Canis lupus familiaris: one gene and its partner. The protein of the gene in region 2 interacts with the protein of the main gene of each other region in a pairwise test. Links are inferred from orthologs where the notes say so. Each region holds a gene or a part of one and is shown on either strand. Other genes may lie near its edges. The genes, in order: SNRNP25 and CPSF7.

Evidence for each region.
Region 1: the proteins of CPSF7 (region 2) and SNRNP25 interact in binary tests that used the Homo sapiens proteins (3 or more experiments, as listed by UniProt). The two-hybrid records come from large-scale screens. The link is inferred for Canis lupus familiaris from reciprocal best matches to the Homo sapiens genes CPSF7 and SNRNP25.

Annotation. Positions count from the first base shown.
Region 1 is NC_049227.1:40,884,464-40,888,924, forward strand, and holds SNRNP25 (U11/U12 small nuclear ribonucleoprotein 25 kDa protein), read right to left. Parts: upstream 3,101-4,461; 5' UTR 2,934-3,100; coding exon 2,892-2,933; intron 2,220-2,891; coding exon 2,129-2,219; coding exon of another isoform or gene 2,035-2,128; intron 1,929-2,034; coding exon of another isoform or gene 1,890-1,928; coding exon 1,784-1,889; intron 1,250-1,783; coding exon 1,175-1,249; intron 703-1,174; coding exon 645-702; 3' UTR 306-644; downstream 1-305. Other genes in the region: POLR3K (DNA-directed RNA polymerase III subunit RPC10), read left to right, coding at 3,299-3,409, 4,156-4,243.
Region 2 is NC_049239.1:55,600,881-55,604,685, reverse strand, and holds part of CPSF7 (cleavage and polyadenylation specificity factor subunit 7), read right to left. Parts: intron 1,542-3,805; coding exon 1,323-1,541; intron 490-1,322; coding exon 386-489; intron 152-385; exon of another isoform or gene 14-151; coding exon 1-13.

The DNA of each region.
Region 1 (4,461 bases), on a different chromosome or scaffold from region 2:
ACGGCTATCTCCTGCCCCCTTCCCCAGGGTGACCGGCAGCTGACAATGAGAGAAGAACCCACGGCTGTGCTGTCTCATTCCGCCCCCAACCCCCACCCCTGCCGCCTGGCACACGGAGAGGCACTCTGACCCCAGCCCTCCCTCTCCAGCCAGCAGCTCCAAGTTCTGCCCCAGGCCACCTCCCTTTCCAGGAGCCAAAGGGTGAAGTGTGTCACTATAGGTGAACCCTGTGAGCCACGGCTGGAGACCTCAGCCACATGCTGGTGGGTGCACGGCCCCCGTTTCTGCAGAAGCACACACAGAAAGCCGGCCATCTGCTTTTATTTCCCCTTGCTGTAGAAATCACAGTAAAAAGGTTTTATCGCGAGGGGATGATTTGGCCACAGGGCTCAAGTGGAAGCATTCTGGACCTTAGGACTCACCTGCACCATCCTCTGCCCTTGCCTCCCCTCTGTGCCTGGGCAGCAGCGGTCCCTCCTGCTCCAGGAACTGTGGCTTTTTGACTTTTCAAACTAAGAAGCAAACGATTTATTTTGTATACAGGGCCAGGTCCATCTGCCATGTGATTAGGATGTTTGGACCTAGGGCTTAGCTCTGTTCCAGCTGGGTGCAGGCCACCAGCACCTAATTGTCTTTCTGGAGGTTCATTTCTGCCTCAGCTTTTTGATGAAGGACACCTCATCCCGGTTCCGGATACCGTAACTAGAAAAGAAGAAGAGCTCTAGTGTGTGATTTGCAGAAGGTATGTGTGGAGCCTCACCTGAGACTTGGGAGGGTATTAAAAAAAAAAAAAAAAAAGGTAGGAACAGCTTGTGTCTGGGAAGGTGAGGAGTGGCAGTGGCCATCGTCTCACGGACCTAGGTCGTGCCAGCAGGCAGCCTCTCACCTTCCCACACACTGCCCTCCTCTGGCTCTAGGAAGCCCCGCTCTACCACTGGTGAGCAGTACTCACACTGCCCCCATGCCTCCCATTCCAGTAGGGAGAGCCCTCAGGAACCTCCCTGCAGGAGGGTGTTGGTTGAGCCAGGGACTCTCTTGGTCTTGCAAATTCTCCAGTGATTGATTTAAGACTCCTCCTCCCTCGGAAGAGGCCCCAGTCTTCTGGCAGAGCCTGGGTACTAAAGGGCAACAGACCAGGTGCCTCTCTGCAGCTCAAAATGTGGTGTGAACTTACTCTCGAAGCTTCTTCCTGTCCTCTGTGAGCTTCTCTCCTGCAGAGGTCAGGTAGTAGGTCCTCCACACATAGGACCTGCAAAATCCAGATGAGGATCTGGGTAAACCACAAGCAGGGTGATTGGGCAGCTGGGACGCAGCAGCTGTGTGTGAGATGGGCTCGGGATGCTCAGCTCTGGGGGGCCCAGGGCAGGCAGCCTCTTCTTGGCTTGTCCTGTACCCTGTACACACCAGGCCCGAGGTAGCTCGAAAGAGGCACCGCTCTGAAAGAGCCGTGTGGGGTGGCTGGGGGCCAAACACACCTTCCTAATGAAATAGGCTACAGCACGGAGACAGAGACGACCCATGCTGCAGGAGTGAGGAGACCACCCAGGGGAAGATGGGGTAGGGCCGCTGGCAGCTGCACCGTCTGTAACCAAGGAGACCACTTACGCTGGAAATGCTCCAAGGTGCCCCCATTTAAGAAGCCCAGTTGCCTGGGTGAGGTGATGTAGATGAAAGAGAACTGAGGCAGGACTCCCAGGCACCGTGGCACCCACCGCGCCGGGACGCTCAGGACAGGGAACTCCTCGGTGCTCTGTGGCACACATGCAACAGTGGCTCCACTTACCAGCTGATGTGCTGAATGCCCCCTTCACGCTCCTGCCTGAGCTGCACGTATCTCTGAATGGCCTTCTTCAGGTCCAGGACTGTGGCGTTCTGCACCACAACCACAGCTGCGGGAGAAGAGCCATGTTAGGATCCACAGCCACAGCCTAGGACGGCAGGAAAGGAACCAGAAGCTCTGTCCAGACTGTTTTGGACGGAGGCTCAAATTCAGGTGGGGTAGGCTTGTGGTTGCCCCGATGCCCTTCGACGTACATGGCTCTTGAGTTTCCCCTGAGCAGCCATGGCAGCGTCTTGTCTGCGTGACAGCTTGGACTGCAGGGTCCGCAGGGAGAGGGCGAGCACTTACGCATTATCTCTCCATCCATCTTGCACACGCGGACTGTCATCGCTTGGCCATATTCTAGTGCTATCTGGGAATTGACTTCTTCCAAAGTAACCTGCAGAAAGACCAATGGTGGAGGTGGGAGCCTTGGCTGCCTTTGCTATCCCAAACCACAAGACAAGACAAGCGGATAGCATCGGAAAAGCAGTGCCGTATCTTACGAAAGACGAGAGACAAGATTTCTTACTTCTATGCTAGGGTTTCCCGGTTGCACCTACATTTTAAAAGTGTTTAATGTGCAAAGTGCATTAAAGCTCAGGAAAAGAGGAGCGCTGAAACAGGAGAGGGTGAGCGCCAGATCTGGGCTCTGGGGCTGGGAAGGAGGAGGCGCGGTCAGTCCGGGATCCAGGGCGACACCGGGCGGGGGGGGGAGGGGAGGCCGGTGTGCGAGGGTGACCGGGGCGCCCAACCCAGGAGTGAACGTCCTCGGGCGGGGCGCGAATCTCGATGCGGAGTCCCGGGGTGGAGCCGTTCTCCCCACTTGAGCCTCAACTACGGAAACGACCTTAGAACCTGCACCTGCAGCGCAGCCGCGCCCGGGGCGCCCGGGGCGCCGTCGGGGTCCGCCTTGGGACCGGACGACCGTCCGCCTGTCCCTGTCCCCTGCTGCCCCCGCTCGTGCTCGGGTCAGTGAGGTCCTTAAAGGACACGGGAGAATCGAGGCCCGCCGCATCGTCACCTCTGGCGCCCACAGGGGGAGGTCAGGCACCGAGGTCCCGCCGCGCACCTGGATCGGGAGGTCGCAGAGCAGCGGGTCCTGCACCACCATGGCGAGCCCCTCCTGGAACACGTCCACCGCCTCGGAGTGCGGCAGCGCCTCCTCTTCATCCTCCTCGGCCTCGGGCGCCTCGGGCCGCGCCGCCGCCGCCTCCGCCTCGGCCTCGGCCTCCGCCGGCTCCAGGGCGCCCGCCCAGCCCCGCGCTCCGACCGCGCCGCCGCCGCTTCCGGCCGCGAGGGGCGGGGCTGCCACGGGGACCGATGGGAGGCTCGAGGCGGCCTGCCGCAGGGGCTGCTGGGAGCGCCAACCCGGCCCGGCCATTGGGGCGGCGGCGGCCCGGGCCAATGGGAGCTCGCGACGGGCCCGACGCCGGCGCCCCGCGGCCGCAGGGGCTGCCGGGAGCGCGCGGGGCAGCCATGCTGCTCTTCTGTCCGGGCTGCGGGAACGGGCTGATCGTGGAGGAGGGACAGCGCTGCCACCGCTTCGCCTGCAACACCTGCCCCTACGTGCACAACATCACGCGCAAGGTGATCACCCGCCGCCCCCCGCCCAGCAGCCGACGCCCGCCCCGCCGGGGTGCTCCAGCGGCCCCGCCCCCGCCCCCCGCCGTATCGGGAGCGGCCTGGCCTCACCCGGCTCCCGTGGCGGCGTCCCCGGCGGCGGCCCGGGCGGCCTCGTCGGAGCCGTGGCCGGATCAGGCCCGCCCTGTGCGCTGGCGCGGCTGACTGCGGGTCCGGGCCGACGCCGCCAGCCCCCGGGGAGCAGCCCGCGCCGCGCACCGACACGGCCGCCGGGCCTTTGCACGTGCTCCCGCTGCCCTCCCCGCCCCGCCCGCAGCCTCGCCGTGTTTGGGTCGTGCCGAGCAGCGTGGCTCTGGCGGACTCGGGTCACCTGCGGACACGCCTCTACGGGACTTGCGTGCCTGGGGTCGGTGCTGCGGCCCCAACCCGGGCCCTGGACGGAGCCGCGGCGCACCGCCCGCCCCGAGCTGCCCGCGGGAGTTGGGGCCGCCGCCGCGACGCCCGGGACGGAGCCGGGGGCCTGCGCGGAGGGCCCGGGCCGAGCGTGGACGGGGTGGGGTGGGGGGTCCCGGCTGCATCCGCCTCTTGGGCCGGCCCGACGCTGGAGCCCCTGGACCCGGGCCGAGCCCTGCGCCGCGGGTGTAGAGACGCGGCTGCCCAGGATCGTGCAGCCCGCGGGGAGGAGGGCAGTCGGCGGCCGGGTCAGCACCGCGCCCCTACCCGCGGCCTGAACACCTGCCGCCTTTCGCCAGGTCACCAACCGGAAGTACCCGAAGCTGAAAGAAGTGGACGATGTGCTCGGCGGCGCGGCGGCCTGGGAGAACGTGGACTCCACCGCAGGTGAGAGCTGAGGCCGCGCTGCCTTTGAGGAAGGAAGCTCCTAAAAATAGCGTGTGTATTTTCTTCTTTAGTGATTTATTTCTTACACAGGCAATATTGGCATAAACCCCAGAGACGTACAGGTGTGGGTTAGTCTCAAAGCCACAGCCTCTTAACATCGCATGACCTTGGTGGCCTCCCTCCGTTGTGAGAGCGTGAAGGGAGCCCCGCAGCACTTG
Region 2 (3,805 bases):
CACCTCAGCATACCTTGAAGAAGAAAAATTAAAAATGAGTGAGATCTATTAGCCAATCAAAAGAACAAAGAAACTCTTCCACTTTTAGTGAAAGCTGGTAAAATAAAAGATATCTTGCTAATAACATACACAAAACTACCATCAATAAAAAGGCGTCAGTCTATAATTGTCCTATTTATTTGGATCAGAAATCAGCTCTTTTTGCCCCTCAACGGATGGACATTGTTACATTGCAGCAAGGTCCCCATTCTAAGGCAGTCTGTCAAAACCAAGGCAATAACCTGGGCCAGGGGTCAGAGGGATTAAAATCCAGGGCCAAAATACAGTGTAGATCTTTATCCTAATGATGACAAACTAAAAGGGGCTTCTCAAATCCAGACCTCACCCTTTGGACTGGCCATTTGCTCGATTCTCAGCAAATTTCAACTCCACCACATCATAGACTCCTATAGAGCGAATAACCTGGATCAGCTGCTGGTCTGTGGTCCACTGGGGCCGGCAAGATGGAAAAGGAAGAAATGTCAAGAGCTACACCCCCTCCCCACCTAGAATGTCCCAAACCCTTTCCCCAAACCTAGGATTCTAGTCACAATCATGACCTCCCACAGAAACCCAAGAGCCCACCAACATTTCAATTATTGCAGGCTTTTATTATCCTCACCCATCCAGCATTCCAAAACCTCCCACCATTCCCCAAACCCCATCTCTTGAGATTAAGAAAATTAAAACCTATTTTAACTTTGACTGCCATTTGGGCTGGCTGGTCATCAGTTCAAACAATGATTACTAGCAGCTTTTAATTACAGACCTGACAGGCTACAGTTTAACCAATGTCAGGAACGTCCCCCTCAGTATGCATTTCCTAATTTGGACCCTCCCTCTACCAGCCCCACAACATGTCTATCACACAAGAATTTTTGCATAAGAATCACCACCTACCCTGAGTGTACTAGAACTATCAAGGTCTTTGATCCTGTCACCAATCGTTATCAAAGAACCAATGAATGACCCCACCAAGAGTTCAAGCTGTTCACTCTGAAATCTCATCCCACAGATGACCCTGCTAGACATAAAGCCCCAGGGTCAGGGGCATTAACAAGATGGCAGAAAAAGCAACTACCCACTTAATCATTGCTTTCTTCGGCACCAGTACGTCCTCAGGATAGTTCTCTTTCAGAGATCAATCCAACCTGATCCCAGGAAAAAGAAATCCAACCCCATCAGAGCACAAAACAGTGCAACAGTGGTTTTTGAAAATGCCATCACCTCCCAGCACTCTCCCTCCAGCCTACCCAGGAAGCTTTTTGGTTCCCCATGCTCACCCAGGAGAAGCTGCCCACGTATACAGCAGCTCGCCTATTGCGGAGGCCGCTGTACGTGTACAGGATCGCAGGGCTCTTGTTATTGGGCTTGGGAGATGGCTCTTGGCGTACAGGAGGAGGTGGCTCAGTGCTGCTGCTTCTGTCATCTGAGGGCTGTGAAGTGGCTGTCAACACGTCATCATACAGGTCAATCTGATCTGTATTGTTGAACTCTGGGTCCTAAGAGATGAAGGGTTGGCAAAGGTGGGTTTGCAGACCTCCCAATGGGTTCATTCTATATCATTCCCGTTTACTTAGAATCCACACTCAAATATTTCGTAAAATGTACAAAACTTTCCTGTCGTACCCTAGGAAGCTAGTAAGAATAATTTCCTGGTAAGAATACTTTTTCACGTAAAACCACTTCACTGAATTATGCTTCTGTAGCTTTTTCTCTCAAGACCCTCTTAGAAGTCTGCAATGCTTCCAGCTTCAGCCAACTGTGAGAATCAAAAGGTACATGATGATTACAAAAGCAAACTAAGAACACATAAAGATGCACCTGCTACTATTGTCAATGAGGTTAGCTTCTAAAGACCACATCTAAGATACAGTAATGAAAAACTTATTTTCCACAACTTGTACTATTTCCAAAATCACGAGTTACACAAATCTTCTTACTCTATTTAATAAGAAAAAGAGTAAAGAGTATATTCATTTAAAAATAAAAGGGAAAGGCATATTCAAGTGGGAACCCAGAATGCAAGAAATAACTGAAATTACTGGTTTACACTTTTATATTTACACTAATGATTCAGAGAAGCTCTAAAACTCATAGTATGCAATCCTATCTTTCTATGAAGTATCCATCGAAGAAACATTTTTATTTTTGTTATTTATAAAGATTTTAATTTATTTATTCATGAGAGACATAGAGAGAGGCAGAGACATAGCCAGAGGGAGAAGCAGGCTCCATGCAAGGAGCCCGATAGGAGACTCGATCCTGGAACCCCAGGATCATGCCCTAAGCCAAAGGCAAATGCTGCTGAGCCACCTAGGCGTTCCAAAGAAACATTTTTAAAAGAAAGGAAAGGAAAGGAAAGGAATAACTCTGGGAGATTTTCCCTTAATATTTTTTAGGTGACAATGTAAATCCAATACATGATTGTGACACTTTTATAAGAGATTTCTGGGAGCAATGCCAGAGATGTTTAATGATACCACAAAAACAGTGAAGTTCTCTCAAAATATTAAGGGTCAGAAAACAGGACAGGCACCCACATCATAACCTATGTCACAGTAAGCATTTACAACATGAACATGTACTCCGAAACACAATGCAAAATATACTTTTATCATGTGTTATGTTTCCACATTTATTATTGTTATGGAATAAATGTTTGTCCCCCCCCAAAATGCAGATGTTGAAACCCTACTCTCCACTGTGCTGTATCAGGAGGTGGGGTCTTTGGGAAGAAATTACAATTAGACCAGGCTTTAAGGATGGAACCCTACTGAACAGGATTAGTGCCCATATAAGAGCCAAGAGAGTGACTGACTGCATGCTCTGCTCTGCATCCCATGAGGATACAAACTGGCATTCTGCAACCTAGAAAAGGGCCCTCACCAGAAGCCAATCTGACTTCAGCCTTCTAATCATCTCCAGAACCGTGAGAAATCTGCTGTTGTTTATAAGCCACTCAGTTTTTGGTATTTTGTTATAGGAGTCAAGTTAACACTATATACCTCGAATCTTAAAACCACGAAAACCACCAGGAGACCTTAATGTTTCAGATTTGCAATGTCAGTTATTTCAGAGAGCTCTTTTTTATGTTAAGGATCAGAAAGTATTTTTTCAGATAACATTCTAGAACACCCTAACAGTGCTAAAGATGATGCTGCCAAAATGACAGAAAGAAGTTCAAAGTGTTTTAGGGAAACTACAGCTCATTCATGACATTGCTTTTAAAAAAATAAAGGAAGAACCTATGTTAAGTAACTTTTCTAGTTCCCTGAAGAAACAGAGCACTTCCTCTAATGCAACTCAGGACAGGAAGCTCTAATAGCTTTCTTTGTTCAAGAACTGCAGATTCTAAGGTGAGACTAGAGAGGGAACTCACTACAAAATTCATTCCTAGATCTACATACCATCACATACTTCTGGAAACAATCTTTTAGTTTCTCAGTTTATCTGAAGTACAATAGAAGAACATGCACACAAAGCATTATTGGGCTGTTCCGATACTGAATAAAAAAGGATTCTACTTCCTGAGGCATGAAAATAATTTCAAATACTACAAATACTCTAAAAAAATCCCACAGAGAGTTTATACCTTGTAAAAATATTGGAGAGAATTGCAAAAGAGAGTAACCTTTTTAGAGGGAACTTAAGAAAAGGGGGGTGCCCAGGTGGCTCAGTTGGTTAAAAGTTTGACTCCTGGTTTCTGCTTAGGTTGTGATCTCAGGGTTGTGGGACTGAGCCCCAAGTCAGGCTCTATGCTCAG